3 linked regions of the Callithrix jacchus genome follow. Each later gene encodes a partner of the first gene's protein in a complex. Links are inferred from orthologs where the notes say so. Each region holds a gene or a part of one and is shown on either strand. Other genes may lie near its edges.

Region 1 (3,987 bases):
CCCCTGTCGAGCCTGTCTGAACAGCCCTGTCGCTGCCATGCCACAGGCAGGTGTCCCCTCCTGGGGTGGGACCCAGCTGCGTTCTCCCTCAGAGCCCTCTCCCTACACCAGCAGGGGCTGTGTCCCTGTGCTGTCGAACATTTGTGAAAGGCTCAGAGCCAGGGCACCGGCTCTGACGGACCCCAGAGGAGCCTGATGGCCCAGATTCCTTCTTCCGCAGTGACCCCCAACCCTGTACAGGCCTGCAGCAGCTCTCATCAGGCCACCTCCTGCCGTGGCATGTGGGACACAGAGCCTGGGTTCGCAAAACCAGCTGGTCGCTGTCATGCTGATTACAAATACCTCCCCCTTCAAAGCCTATCTTGGATGTGGTATCCTCCAGAGTCACCCTTAGGAGGTGGAACTTGAGCATTAACTCACCAGAAACCAGTAAAGCTAGCTACGCTCCAGCAGGAGCAAGTCAGAAAACAACAGGCCTGGAGCTCTGCTTAGGAGCCATCTAGAGCATAAACCTGCACAGGACCCTGCCCGTGCTTCCTCTGTCCAGCAAATGACACTCTGGGGTGCTTTTTAGCAGGTGGCCATCTCTCAACCACTGGTGCAGTGAGCACGAGAGTGCACGGTGGAAGGAGCCTAGGCTCCACTGAGCCCACAGACCCGGCACCCACCTCACAGCCCTGCTCTCACATGCGACAGGCACTGCAGCAGCAACAGGTCCCCAGTTGGTGCCTGGCTGCTTCACCCCTGGCAGCTGCTCAGGCCCATGCAGGAGCCGCCTCTGTTCATGGCTTTTCCTCACCAGTCACAATGGCCTGTCCCAAGTTCTGGGGCTGCAGTCTTCAACATTTGTCACTGCTCTCCCTGCACCTACAGCTATAGCCCACACCCACGCCACCACCATCTCTTCCCCAGACAGCCATACAACCCTGCACACAGCACGCCTCCTCCCACTGCCTGGCGGGTCCTCTCCCCACACCATCCTGTGGTGGGCAGGTCTGGCCCACTCTTTACCTCCTCAAGGTTCCTTCCCCTTCACAGCTCCACCACAATCGGAGCACACCACACTGGGGTCTGGGCTCTTTTTGTTTCTCTTACCAGGACACAGCTAACCCCTTGGGGGCAGACATGGGGTTTTGTTTGGCTCACTCTGCACTGCCTGGCACTCAGGGGCAATACTGAGGAGAGAGAGCAGGAGGGCATGAGCACCACATGCAGAGCAGCCACCAAACATGGGTACAAGGCCTTGGCAACCTGGTGCCTCTTTCTCGAGTCACTTTTTACATCAGTGGGTTGTGTCCTGACTGCCATGTGACCTCTTTTCTGCCTTCCTCTCTCTGCTCTCCAAGTCCAAATGGACCCCCAGCCCCAGAGAGCATCCACTGAGCAGAGGGTGCAGCGCCCACACTGCTGCCCACCAACGCCACATGCTGCAGATAGTGTCAGTGCACGTGTGTGAACAGAGACACCACTGAAAGGACCTAACAGCCAACACGTGCTTCCCAGCCTGCCACCCTGGCAGCTCCGGCGGGCTGTGTGGGCAGGCGGGCTTGGAGGAGGACCTGTACCTCGGTGGTTTCACTGGCTGCGGTGCTCTCTTCCTTTTTCCTCTCCTCTTCTTCTTGTTCTAGTTCCTTAATGCTCTCTTCTAACACATTGGGCCAGAAATCACCTTCAAAATAGGGCAGTTCCTTGGCACTGGTGAGTCTGTCTTCAGTTGCTTGTTTGAAAATGTCCTGCGTGGGCAAAGCACAATGAGATGAGGGCCATGCATGTGGGCCCCAGCATGGAGCAGCAGACCCCCCTGCATGCACGCCCCTCACCACAGTGCTGGCCCCCCCCATGTGTGCAACAGTTATGCACAGGCCCCGAGGCCCAGCGATGAAAACAGCACAACTGTGCGGCCCTCGGACAGCCAGGGCAAAGCCCATCAGCCGAAGAAAATGCTTCTAAGTTCTCACTTTATGCTTTTTCTGCTTTCTAATCCTCGTAAGTAAACATTATTATCAAGTATGTCAATGCAAGAAAGAGACACGTAAGTAACCTTCACTCAGCTGTGACAAAAGCCACCACCTTCCTTCAGCACCAGGTACCTTGTAGTCATGAATGATCCGCTCTGCAAACGCCTTGTCCAGCATCTTTTTGTACCATTCCTGCAGTCGTTTTGGCTTGGGGATTTTTTGATCAGGTGGGTGGCAGTGGAAGATATAATCATCTCCTTCACTTGGAGGACAGGCCCAGATGTGCCCTGTCACATACCTGCAGGACACACACACATCACATGGAAGCGCCAGTGAAATTGGCCCTGCCTTTAAGAAGTCATAGCAGAAGAGCAAGGACTCAAGCCAGGACAAAAGTAACCAGAAAGAGGAGAGAACGAACACCCACAATGCTGGAACTTCCTCCAGCATTGGCGGCAAGGCTGGAACTTCCTCCTGAGCAAATGCAAGCCTAGAATCCTGCCCTGAAATACTTCTCTCTTGGGGTGCACACACAGGGCAGGGCCAAGCCTGCAAAGGAAACCTGAGGCCTCATTAAAGAGCCAGGGAATAGCCGGGTGCGGTGGCTCACGCCTGTAATCCCAGCACTTTGGGAGGTCAAGAGATCGAGACCATCCTGGTCAACATGGTGAAACCCCCTGTCTCTATTAAAAATACAAAAAATTAGCTGGGCACGGTGGCGCGTGCCTGTAATCCCAGCTACTCAGGAGGCTGAGGCAGGAGAACTGCCTGAACCCAGGAGGCGGAGGTTGGGGTGAGCGGAGATGGCGTCATTGCACTCCAGCCTGGGTAACAAGAGCGAAACTCTGTCTCAAAAAAAAAAGAAGAACCAGGGAATATGATGGCTCATCAAGGCAACGCCATCCCCTTCCTCCTGAGCTAGCAGTTCAGCTGACTATTTCTCTCTCTGAGAGTCAATGTCAACATAGTATCATTCATTCTGTTCAAGACACTTTGATCAAATGCCCCTAACCTTTTCAAGATTCAGAAAGGAATGGGGCAGGTCTACAGTACAGAAACCAAGCGCTAGAGAAGAAAACCAGACCCAAGACAGCAGGCACTGCAGGGTTCTGTTTACACAAAGGATCCAGAAAAGACAAATTCAGAGAGACAACAAGTAGATTAGTGGTCACCCATGGCAGAGATGGGACAGGAATTAACAGCAAGGGGCAGGAGGAATTTTTTTTTTTATTTTTGAGATAGAGTTTATCTTTTTGCTCAGGATGGAGTGCAATGGCACGACTGGCTCACTGCAACCTCTGCCTCACTGGTTCAAGTGACTCTCCCTGCCTCAGCATCCCAAGAAGCTGGGATTACAGGCGTGCACCATCATGCACAGATAACTTTTTTTGTGTGTGAGACAGGGTCTTGTTCTTGTTGCCCAGGCTGGAGTGCAATGGCACAATCTCGGCTCACTGCAACCTCCACCTCCCAGCTTCAAGCTATTCTCCTGCCCCAGCTTTCCCAGTAGCAAGGATTACCCTAGGCACCCTCCCCCATGCTCTGGCTAATTTTTTGTATTTTTAGTAGAGACAGGGTTTCACCATGTTGGTCAGGCTGGTTTCCTCCTCTGACCTCTGGTGATCCACCTGCCTTGGCCTCCCAAAGTGCAGGGATTACAGGCATAAGCCACCACACCTGGCCAAATTAAAAAAAAAATTTTATTTTATTTTTTGAGACACTGTCTTGCTCTGTCACCCAGGATGGAGTGCAGTGGCGCAATCTCGGCTCAGTGCAATCTCTGCCTCCCAGGTTCAAGTGCTTCTCCTGCCTCAGCCTCCTGAGTAGCTGGGATAATAGGCATGCCTGACTAATTTTTGTATTTTTAGTAGAGGCAGGGTTTCACCATGTCTGTCGGTCAGGCTGGTCTCGAACTCTTGACCTGTGATCTGCCCACCTTAGTCTCCCAAAGTGCTGGGATTACAGGCATGAGCCACCGCACCTGGCCTTTCTTTGTATTTTTAGTAGAGACGGGGTTTCACCATGTTGG
Region 2 (4,424 bases), on another chromosome or scaffold:
GGGTCTGGAGGGTGGGGCAAAGTTCACCATAGTTGCCTGGCTAATCAACAAGGGTGAGTTTAAGGGAAGTCTGTGCAAGGGCCAGTTCCTGCCTGGTCTGCAGTTCCCCAGCCTAATGAGATTTGCGTTTCCTTTCCGGAGTGGGTCCTCCTGGGACCACAAATAGCACAGTGGCAGGCGCAGCTGGCAGTGGGGCTGGCATAGCACACATTTCGTTCCCGAGGAGGGGCGCCCTGATGTGCCGGCACCCAGGGGCTTTGTGCATTCCGCGCAGAGAGCTCGGGCGTCACAGCGCGAACAAAGCGGCTTTGCAGGGCGCTCTCCTACTCCTCGCCATTGGCCGCCGGGCCGCGACCTCTCCCTGCGCTGGCAGAGTCCCAGCGCCTTGCGTGGGCACAAAGTCAGCCCCTCATCACCCCCCCGGGCACGGAGTAGGGGGCGCGCATGGCTCTCGGGCCACTGGAGATGGGTGGGAATGTGGGATCGGAGCTAGCGGCTCCTCCCCGAGCCCGTCCGCGTTGCCCTTCACCCTCCTCGTTCCCCCGCCCGCCACACCACCCTGGCACCTCCTGCCACCTGTTTCCTCGTCCTCCCAGCTCGCCTTCCCCTTCCCCTTATTTTGCATCCTAGGGTTCCAGGGACAAGGTCCTTCCCGGCCTGCCTACCACCCCACGCACTTTGGAGGCTCAAGGGCACCCGGTCCCGGATCTAGACCCGCTCATTGCACCGAACGGCGGAGCCCAGCTCCCGGAGGAGGCAGGAGGGACTCGCCAGCGTGGCACGGGCGCTCAGCGGGAACCTCCACCCTCCCTGCGGCCGCGCGTCCCCTCCTCGAATTCAGCCCCATCGGGTGCGCGGGGCTGCAGGGGCGCCCACGCTCAGCGGCGTCCCGGCGGTGACCTTGGAGGGCTCCTCCACCTATTCGGCCTCAGTTTCCCCTGGTTGCAGCGGACGCGAGGCACTAGGTGGGAGCAGCGGAGAGTTCCCGGGGCCCCGCCCCCTCGAGCAGCCAATCGGGCGCCGCCGTCCGGGGGGTGTGTCCCGGGGCCGGAGCCCGGGCGCCCCGAGGGCGCGCGGGGCGGGCGGGGCTTCCGGGTCGGGCCCGGGGACAGGAGCCCGCGCGGACCGGGGCGGGCCGAGGGGCGGTGCGTGTGGCGGGGGCGCGGCTGGCACGGACGCGCGGAGGCGGCGCCGGGCATGGGCCGTGGACGCGGCGGCCCCGCGGCAGGGGCAGCGGGCGGCGGGGGCGGAGGCGGCCGCTAGCGCCCTGCCCGGCGCCGCCTCCTTCGGCGCTCGTCCCACGGACTGGCAGGCGGCGGACCGCGATCCAGGTGCCCGCGGGCGGAAGGGCGCGCGCGGGGGTCCGCCGGCAGGGCTTCCCCAGTCCCGGGACCCAGACGGCGGCGGACGGGGGAGGGGCAGGGGCTGGGCGGCGCATGCGCGGGGCCCGGGGTCTCGAGGTCTCGGGGGCCCGGGGATCCAGGGTCAGGGTGCGCGGCCGGAGACGTGAGGGCGAGGGGCGAGGACACACGCCGAGGACTCGTGCAAGGGGTCCCGGGGCCCTGCTCGTCCTCCCTCCTACCGCCGGGGCCCTGCCTGGAACCGTAGACTCCACGGCTCTCCATGGGGCTTGGCGCTGCGCGGAGGTCGGGTCTGGCGACCGCAGCGACTCTAAGTCTTCGGCTTGTCCCTTGGGAGGGAGGCTCTCGGGCGGGACATCGGGGCTTGCCCATCCCTCCGCGCCGTGGCTTCCCAAGACCCCCAGGGATCCCTGAGGCAGGGAAACCCGGGCCCGGACTGACCGACCCTGGGTGGGTGCGCCCGGCGGCTGCCGCCGGACCAAGACGCGCGTGTTAGCTCCTCCGGCTGTGACCGCCTTAGAGGAACGCTTCCCGCTTGGTGCCCCAACGCGGCGGGGTGACCCCCGGCAGCCCGAACGGGCTGCTCTCGGCCGGGTGGCTTCTCTGCGGAAGCCGCGCCATGTCGCTCCCGGTGGGGGCCGCTGCGGGTCTGGCGCGGGCATTCCCAGGTCTTTCCGGAGTCCTGGGCTGCGCGGCCCGCGTGGTGCGAGTGAAGCCGGAGGGGCGCTGGGTGGTGCCGGTGGGAGTCAGGAAGGTCCGCTCTGCCCCGTCTCCCACCCCAACTACCAGGGCACACCTGCGTGCCTGCGCGTTTCTGAAGCCTGCTTTAAAAGTTAAACGAGAGGAAGTGTGCTCCCAGTGCCAGGATTCTTTCCAAGAAAAACCCACAGTTGTCTAACCGGCGGGCTTCATGCGACCCTCCGGGACTGCGTGCCCACCTCAGCCCCAGCTGCCCCACCGACTCCCCCCCCCCCCCCCCCCGCCCAGGAAACCAGGGAGGCCTCTCCTCTCCCAGCCCGCTTGGGATAAGGGTGCCCTGGAGAACCGGGTCAGGGCAAGGGCACGGGTTTTCCTGAGAAGGACCGTGAGACACCTGTGTGGTTGTGGGGCAGGGGCAGGGTGACTTTCCTTTTCCAAGGTGGTGGAGAGTTGGGGGCATCCAGAGAACATAGCGTAATCACTTCCTCCTCCATCTTCTTCCTCCAGGCTGAAGCTCCGGGCCCAGCCTGCTCTGTGGACACACAGTTTGCGGCAAGACAAGCTCAGAACTGAAGTTGTCACCACAGGTAAATAGAAAGCTTGATTTACTGTTTCCAGATGGAAGTATTTAAGTGTGCTGTGTTTATTTCTGTTGTGCCGCAGACCAGCAATGTGGAGGTTAATTATTATTACTTCGGGATGCAACCTTAGATACGTTTTCAGACTGAAAGTAGCATACATGGGCATGGATTCCCTTTTTTTTTTTTTTTTTTTTTCCCGAGATGGAGTCTCCCTCTGTCGCCCAGGCTGGACTGCAGTGGCACAATCTTGGCTCACTGTAACCTCTGCCACCCGGATTCAAGTGATTCTCCTGCCTCAGCCTCCTGAGTAGCTGGGATTACAGGTGCCTGCCAACCTACCTGGCTAATTTTTGTAGTTTTAGTAGAGATGTGGTTTCACCATGTTGGCCAGGCTGATCTTGAATTCCTAACCTGGTGATGTACCTGCCTGGGCCTTCCAAAGTGCTGGGATTACAGGCATGAGCCACCCCGCCCGGCCTAAGATTCACTTTTAAGTTCTGAGGTACGGTGTCAGTTTTGCCAGGAACTTCATTGCTTCATGGCAGCCATGTTTTAAATTCATGTTATCAATTTAAAACTTGATAACATTAACTTTGAGAAATGTGAGTGCTTAGCAGACACTTGGGACATCCACACCAACTGGAACAGAGCTGTTTTCATTGTGATTTGATTATTAAGCAGGTGGCTTGTTGGGCAAGGCCCATGACAGAACATGCCAGGGATGGGCTGAAGATACAGGCCAGACGATAGGATGTGTGTGGTCACCATCCGTGAGAGGCCAGGGACAGAGGGGCTGAAGGTGACCTGTGCAACTCTGAAGCAAAGGTAAATTCACTGGCAAGCAAGGCACGGTCTCTCACTCCTGTAATCCCAGCACTTTGGGAGGCTGAGGTGGGAAGACCACTTGAGGCCGGGAGTTTGAGACCAGCCTGGCCAACATGGTGAAACCCCATCTCTACAAAAAAAATATAAAAATTAGCCAGATGTGGTGCCAGACACCTGTAATCCCTGCTTGAGCCTGGGAGGTGAAGCCGAGATTCTGACACTGCACTCCAGCCTGCATGACAGGGCAAGACTCCGTCTCACAAAAATAAAATAAAATAAATTAATTAATTAATTGACAGTAGAAAAAATGTTTTCTTTTACCTCTTTCTTTCTTTTTTTTTTTTTTTTGAGATGGAGTTTCACTCTTGTCAGCCAGGTTGGAGTGCAGTGGCGTGATCTTGGCTCACCGCAACCTCTGCCCTTCTGCTGCCTCAGCCTCTTGAGTAGCTGGGATTACAGGCATCCACCACCACACCCAACTAATTTTTGTATTTTTAGACGCGGGGTTTTGCCATATCGGCTAGGCTGGTCTCTAACTCTTGACTTCAGGTGAATCACCCACCTCAGCCTCCCAAAGTGCTGAGATAGGCTGGGCGCAGTGGCTCACACCTGTAATTCCAGCACTTTGGGAGGCTGGGGAGGCCAGATCATGAGGTCAAGAGATTGAGACAATCCTGGCCAATACGGTGAAACCCTGTCTCTACTAAAAATATGAAAATTAGCTGAGCGTGGTGGCGTGCACCTGTAGTTGCAGTTACTCAGGAGGCTGAGCCAGGGGAATCACTTGAACCTGGGAGGCGGAGGTTGCAATGAGCCAAGACTGGGCCACTGCACTCCAGCCTGGCAACAGAGCAAGACTCTGTCTCAAAAAAAAAAAAAGTGTTGGGAGTAAGCCCCGGCTCCAGGCCCATTTCTGGCATCTTAGACGTAAAATGAGAGACATGCCATAGGTATCAAA
Region 3 (4,633 bases), on another chromosome or scaffold:
CCACTTTGGCCTCCCGAAGTGCTGGGATTACAGGCATGAGCCACCGTGCCTGGTCATAGTTAAATAATCTTAAACTACTACCTTATCCCATGTTCTGCCACTTTCACAGATGATCATGGAAATCTCTTACCAGGCTCTGAACCGTAGCAGGGGCGGATGGGCAGAGAGCAAGGCCGAGGGGACTCAGGGGGGGCTGCTCCTCGCCCCAGGGAGCAGGGAAGACATCTTCGAAGGCGGCTCAGGAAGTCTGTTGGCTCTTCTGGGGCAGGGCTTCTGGGGAGGAGGACTTCAGAGAGTGACCCCACCAGAGATCCTCTGTAAGTCACTTTTCTCAACTCACTCCCTCCCCCACTGAGGACCTCTCTCCAAAACCCCAAAGACAGAGAATAGAGTCAGATATAAAGAGAGGAGAGAGACTGAGACCAGGAGCAAGAGTTAGGAGGGGGCCTCAAATCCTGGCCCCTCGGGGAGAAGCACAACTCCTGTTACCTGGGTGAAGTTGCAACAGGAGACCCGGCAGTCTCACCACGCCTGAGGAAGGCAGCTAGGACCCTCAGCGTGTCTTCCCGGAGACCCAGCTCTTCTGAGCCTGCCATGGAGGCACCTATGAGAGAGGGGGCTAGGGACTGAACTCCAAGGATTTATCGAGAAGTGGAGGCTTGAGGACCGGGAGTTGTGAGTCCCAAGGAAGGTGATGAGGGCCCGGACTCCTGGGTCCTTTGGAGAGTGTGGGTCTGGGCGCTTAGACTCTTGAGTCCTCAGACAGAAGAGGGAACAGGACAGACTCATTAATCCAAGGAAAGCTAGGGGGTGGGTGCCCAGATTCGTGGACCTAAAGGAGGAGGGAGCTAGGGTCCTAGATTCCTGAGTCTTAGAGAGAAAGGAACTGGAGCCCCTGACCCTTATGTCTCCCAGGGAGAAGGGGCTTAGCGCCCCAACTCCTGGATTCTGAAAGAGGTATATGCCGAACTACTCAAACTCTTAAAGCATCGGGAACTACCAATCCCAGCAGGCTTTACGGCAAATCTTCTCCTCGGTCCCCGCTTCTTCGCCGCACAGCCTGCTGGGAGGTGTATTTCCAAATCTCCTGCTCCTGGAATATACACTTGGATGTCGGAGAAGCGGGACTGGGTTCTCACTCCTGCATCCCGGCCGCCTCCTCTTCCCTCCACACCCCGACCCTCGGCAACACTCCGCTGACCTGGTCCGGGGCCCCACCGCCGCCACCTCCACTCAACTTGCCGCCTTCTTCACTCAACTCGTACAAAACTTTCTAGGTCAACTTTCCCGCCCCTGCGCACTGGGCCGGGTGGGTAACCGGCCCAACGTAGAAAAGGCGGAACGCTGGCTGCACGCTCAATTTGCATTTGACGCTCCCAGCATGCCTCTGGCCGGAAAGCCGAAAAAGGGCATGGGGGCGGGGACAGCCCGGGCCCTACGGCCTGTCCCTTCGGCTCTGGGTTCTGTCACTCAAAGAATGATAAAGTTGTTTTTATTTCAAGAAGTCGTTGGAAAAGAAAGTCCCAGCGCTCTAGAACTCAGCTGACGGGAAAGCGGGTGTTCAGCCTCGAGTTTGAGAGCTACCCGGAGCCCCAAGACGGGTGGGCTCCAGCTCCCCGCACGCCCCGACCTTCCATCGTAGGTAACGCGGAAGAGCCCGGGAGAGCGTTGGTGGCGTTCGAGAACGAGGAGCGGGAAAGATGATGGGTCTGTACGGAAAGTGGAAAGGCAGGCTGTATAATCTGGGGAAAGTGGAGAAAGGAGGGAGTGGCCGGCGCTGGAGGTCTGTTGCAGAAAAACTAGAAAAAGTAGGGAGGGAAGAGAAAGAGGAGGCGTCTACACTGAGGGAGATCTAGAGAGGGAGGGGTGGACTCCGCAGATGCGGGCAGTTCGCTCTCGAAAGCTGAGGCGTGCTCTGGAGGAGGGAGGCTGGCAGTCGAGGGAGCATTGTGGATGGAGGTTCTGCGTTGGAAGTAGGTAGGGGATCTTCTCTAGGGGGACTGTGGAAGGGGGTCTACACTGGGCTAAGTGCAGGCGGTAGAGGCTTACAAGTGAATCGATTCTGCACTGACATAGCTAGGGAAAGAGATGTTACCCTGAAAGTGGGGTTACTTGCTTTCGATATGGGGAAAGAGGGGGTCTACACTGGCAGAATTGAGGGAGTGGAGGGTCTGTACTGAAGTCGCTGGGGAAGGGTGTGCCATGGATAGGGGAAGGAACCCTAGCTGATTAGGGAGCCTCTCTGGCGGATGGGAGGATGGGAAGAGGAGGTTTCCTGTTTGTACCCCCGAAAACATGGGTGAAGGACCTGTGCCGTAGCCCATGACAGGGAGTTCTGGGCGCGGAAACTCCAGGCCAGGTGGGTCCAGGAGAGGCCGGCCGCGCCCAGGAAATGCCCTGTACGCGCAGGCCGGACCATGGGAACCCCAAAGCCACGGATCCTGCCCTGGCTGGAGTTGCAGCTGAATCTGGGGCAGCTGGAGGGTGTGGCCTGGGTGAATGAGAGCCGCACGCGCTTCCGCATCCCTTGGAAACACGGTCTACGGCATGATGCACAGCAGGAGGATTTCGGAATCTTCCAGGTGCGTGCGACCAGGGACGCTGGAAACCAGGAGCTGCGCGCTGGGCGGGAAAGACTCCGAGAGGCAGGGTTGAGAAGGCGGCGGTAGCGCGCGAGGGGCGGGCTCGTGTCAACGCTGGTGGGTGGGGCCAGAACGGGAGGGGCGGGGCTAGCCGGATCAGCTGACTGATGGGGGCGCCGGGAGGGTCGGAGTTGCCGGTTCCGGGAATAGAACTAGAACTGGGAGAGCCGGGTTAGTACGCAATGAAAATGCATCCTATGGGTTTGGAGCTCTCTAGGGGCCGGGGTTCCTAGTAGTAGGATCCTGGGGGATTGTTCTTGAAACATCAGAGGTGAGACTTGGAGCCCCAAATCTGGGGTTCCTAACCACCGAATTAGTATAAGCCAGACGTGGTAAACAGTGTGAGGGACGAGGTTATCACCGAGGGTGTCCTGAGGCAGGTGGTGCACGGGGTTAGTAGGACTTGAAAGCCTGGCTTAGAAAGAAAAGGTTTTTGGGGGGCGCGGTGGTTCACATAGAATCCCAGTACTTTGGCAAGGCCGAGGCTAGAGGATCGCTTGAGCCCCGGAGTTTGAGACCAGCCTGGGCAACACAGGCCCCGTCTCGTTAAAAACAAAAGAGGTTTCAAAGGCTTTTGAAGAGGCGGGGCGCGGTAACTCACGCCTGTAATCCCAGCACGTTGGGAGGCTGAGGCAGGCAGATCATTCTAGAAAACTAGAGGTGGGGATGGAGGTAGGTGGGATGGGGGGATTTGGGGATGGACCTTGCAGAGTTACAACTTGCCAGGGAAAGAGGGTGGTGTTAGGATGCCGGAGACAGGGTTGGGGCTCCGGGACAGGATCTAGGTCGTCCTCTCTCACTATCCTCACACCACTGTTGCCCCAGGCCTGGGCTGAGGCCACTGGTGCATACGTTCCCGGGAGAGATAAGCCAGACCCGCCAACCTGGAAGAGGAATTTCCGTTCTGCCCTCAACCGCAAAGATGGATTGCGTTTAGCAGATGACCGAAGCAAGGACCCTCACGACCCACATAAGATCTACGAGTTTGTGAACTCAGGTCTGCCAGATCGGGGTCAGTGTGGGAGGCTGGGGTCCCAAGGGTTCCTGGCACCCCTAGCCACTTCAACACCTTTCTCAACAGCAGTTGGGAACTTTGCCCAGCCAGACACATCTCCAGACACCAGTGGCGGAGGCAGTACTTTTGATACCCAGGTAAGAATGTGCCCAACCTTCACGCCCCCACTGTCTGTCCTGTTCCCATGGACTCATCCTCTCCCTGTGGACCAGTGCGCCTCCCTCACCTCGTCTGCCCCTCACCTGAGCCAGTGCTGGCCCTGTCTGTCCCATGCTCCAGTCTCCTCAGGAGAAAATTCAGTCTTCACTTGGCATTGAAGGCACTCAATTTGCATTTGACACGCCTTCCCGGGATTTCCTGTAGATCCTTGATTGGCGGGGGGAGGGGGGGAGTGGGGGGACGGCTGTCTGTCAGCCTCTTGGGAACTGAAAACCTCCCTCCCTCCCCTTGATCCTGCCGCTGTCAGAGCCAGGGGAGCATCCCCTCTGAAATTCTGCCCAGGCCTTGCCTGCAGAAAGCCAGATCCTGGGGTTGGAATGGTAGCATGTGGCATTCATTAGAGTGTCTATTTGGCTATTGATGCCCGTGGCTGCCACTGTCCCCAGACTGGAAGCCCTCTGAAAGCAGAGCTCAAGCCTGACCTCCCTGCACTGCTGAGAACAGACCTGGTCCACATTTAGTCTCCAGAAAAGGCTGTGGAAATGCCTAATTCTCTTTTTGTTTCCCTCTAGGAAGACATTCTGGATGAGTTACTGGGTAACATGGTCTTGGCCCCACTCCCAGATTCGGGACCACCAGGCCTGGCTGTAGCCCCTGAGCCCTACCCTCAGCCCCTGCTGAGCCCCAGCTTGGATAATCCCACGCCCTTCCCAAACCCGGAGCCCTCTGAGAATCCACTGAGGCGGCTGCTGGTGCCGGGGGAAGGTGAGGGTCAGCTGCCGGATAGGAGGGGCTGAGGTCTGGGTAGCAGTCCCTG

Evidence for each region.
Region 2: the proteins of CREBBP (region 1) and PPARA are in contact, whole or in part, in a crystal structure (PDB 9IWL), measured with the Homo sapiens proteins. The link is inferred for Callithrix jacchus from reciprocal best matches to the Homo sapiens genes CREBBP and PPARA. Residues at the interface, in NP_004371.2 of Homo sapiens: Asp62, Ala63, Ala64, Lys66, His67, Lys68, Gln69, Leu70, Ser71, Leu73, Leu74, Arg75; in NP_001001928.1 of Homo sapiens: Val284, Thr285, Thr288, Glu289, Lys292, Phe297, Leu302, Asn303, Gln305, Val306, Thr307, Leu309, Lys310, His457, Pro458, Leu459, Glu462, Ile463.
Region 3: the proteins of CREBBP (region 1) and IRF3 are in contact, whole or in part, in a crystal structure (PDB 5JEM), measured with the Homo sapiens proteins. The link is inferred for Callithrix jacchus from reciprocal best matches to the Homo sapiens genes CREBBP and IRF3. Residues at the interface, in NP_004371.2 of Homo sapiens: Leu2070, Thr2073, Leu2074, Lys2075, Ser2076, Ser2079, Gln2081, Gln2082, Gln2084, Gln2085, Val2086, Asn2088, Ile2089, Leu2090, Asn2093, Gln2095, Leu2096, Ala2099, Phe2100, Gln2103; in NP_001562.1 of Homo sapiens: Pro198, Gly199, Glu200, Glu201, Trp202, Glu203, Ser221, Leu322, Ile326, Leu329, Ile330, Thr333, Thr370, Cys371, Leu372, Ala374, Leu375, Glu377, Met378, Ala379, Val381, Gly382, Gly383, Ala384.

What each region holds. Positions count from the first base shown.
Region 1 is NC_133513.1:5,846,324-5,850,310, forward strand, and holds part of CREBBP (CREB-binding protein), read right to left. Parts: intron 2,257-3,987; coding exon 2,091-2,256; intron 1,734-2,090; coding exon 1,566-1,733; intron 1-1,565. UniProt on the Homo sapiens protein: Acetylates histones, giving a specific tag for transcriptional activation. Mediates acetylation of histone H3 at 'Lys-18' and 'Lys-27' (H3K18ac and H3K27ac, respectively).
Region 2 is NC_133502.1:213,850,615-213,855,038, reverse strand, and holds the start of PPARA (peroxisome proliferator-activated receptor alpha), read left to right. Parts: upstream 1-1,204; 5' UTR 1,205-1,331; intron 1,332-2,567; 5' UTR 2,568-2,647; intron 2,648-4,424. UniProt on the Homo sapiens protein: Ligand-activated transcription factor. Key regulator of lipid metabolism. Activated by the endogenous ligand 1-palmitoyl-2-oleoyl-sn-glycerol-3-phosphocholine (16:0/18:1-GPC). Activated by oleylethanolamide, a naturally occurring lipid that regulates satiety.
Region 3 is NC_133523.1:43,428,253-43,432,885, reverse strand, and holds the start of IRF3 (interferon regulatory factor 3), read left to right. Parts: upstream 1-1,413; 5' UTR 1,414-1,700; coding exon of another isoform or gene 1,701-1,707; 5' UTR 1,708-1,879; coding exon 1,880-1,973; intron 1,974-2,409; coding exon 2,410-2,582; intron 2,583-2,731; exon of another isoform or gene 2,732-2,813; intron 2,814-3,467; coding exon 3,468-3,639; intron 3,640-3,723; coding exon 3,724-3,794; intron 3,795-4,388; coding exon 4,389-4,581; intron 4,582-4,633. Other genes in the region: BCL2L12 (bcl-2-like protein 12), read right to left, coding at 131-273, 490-596.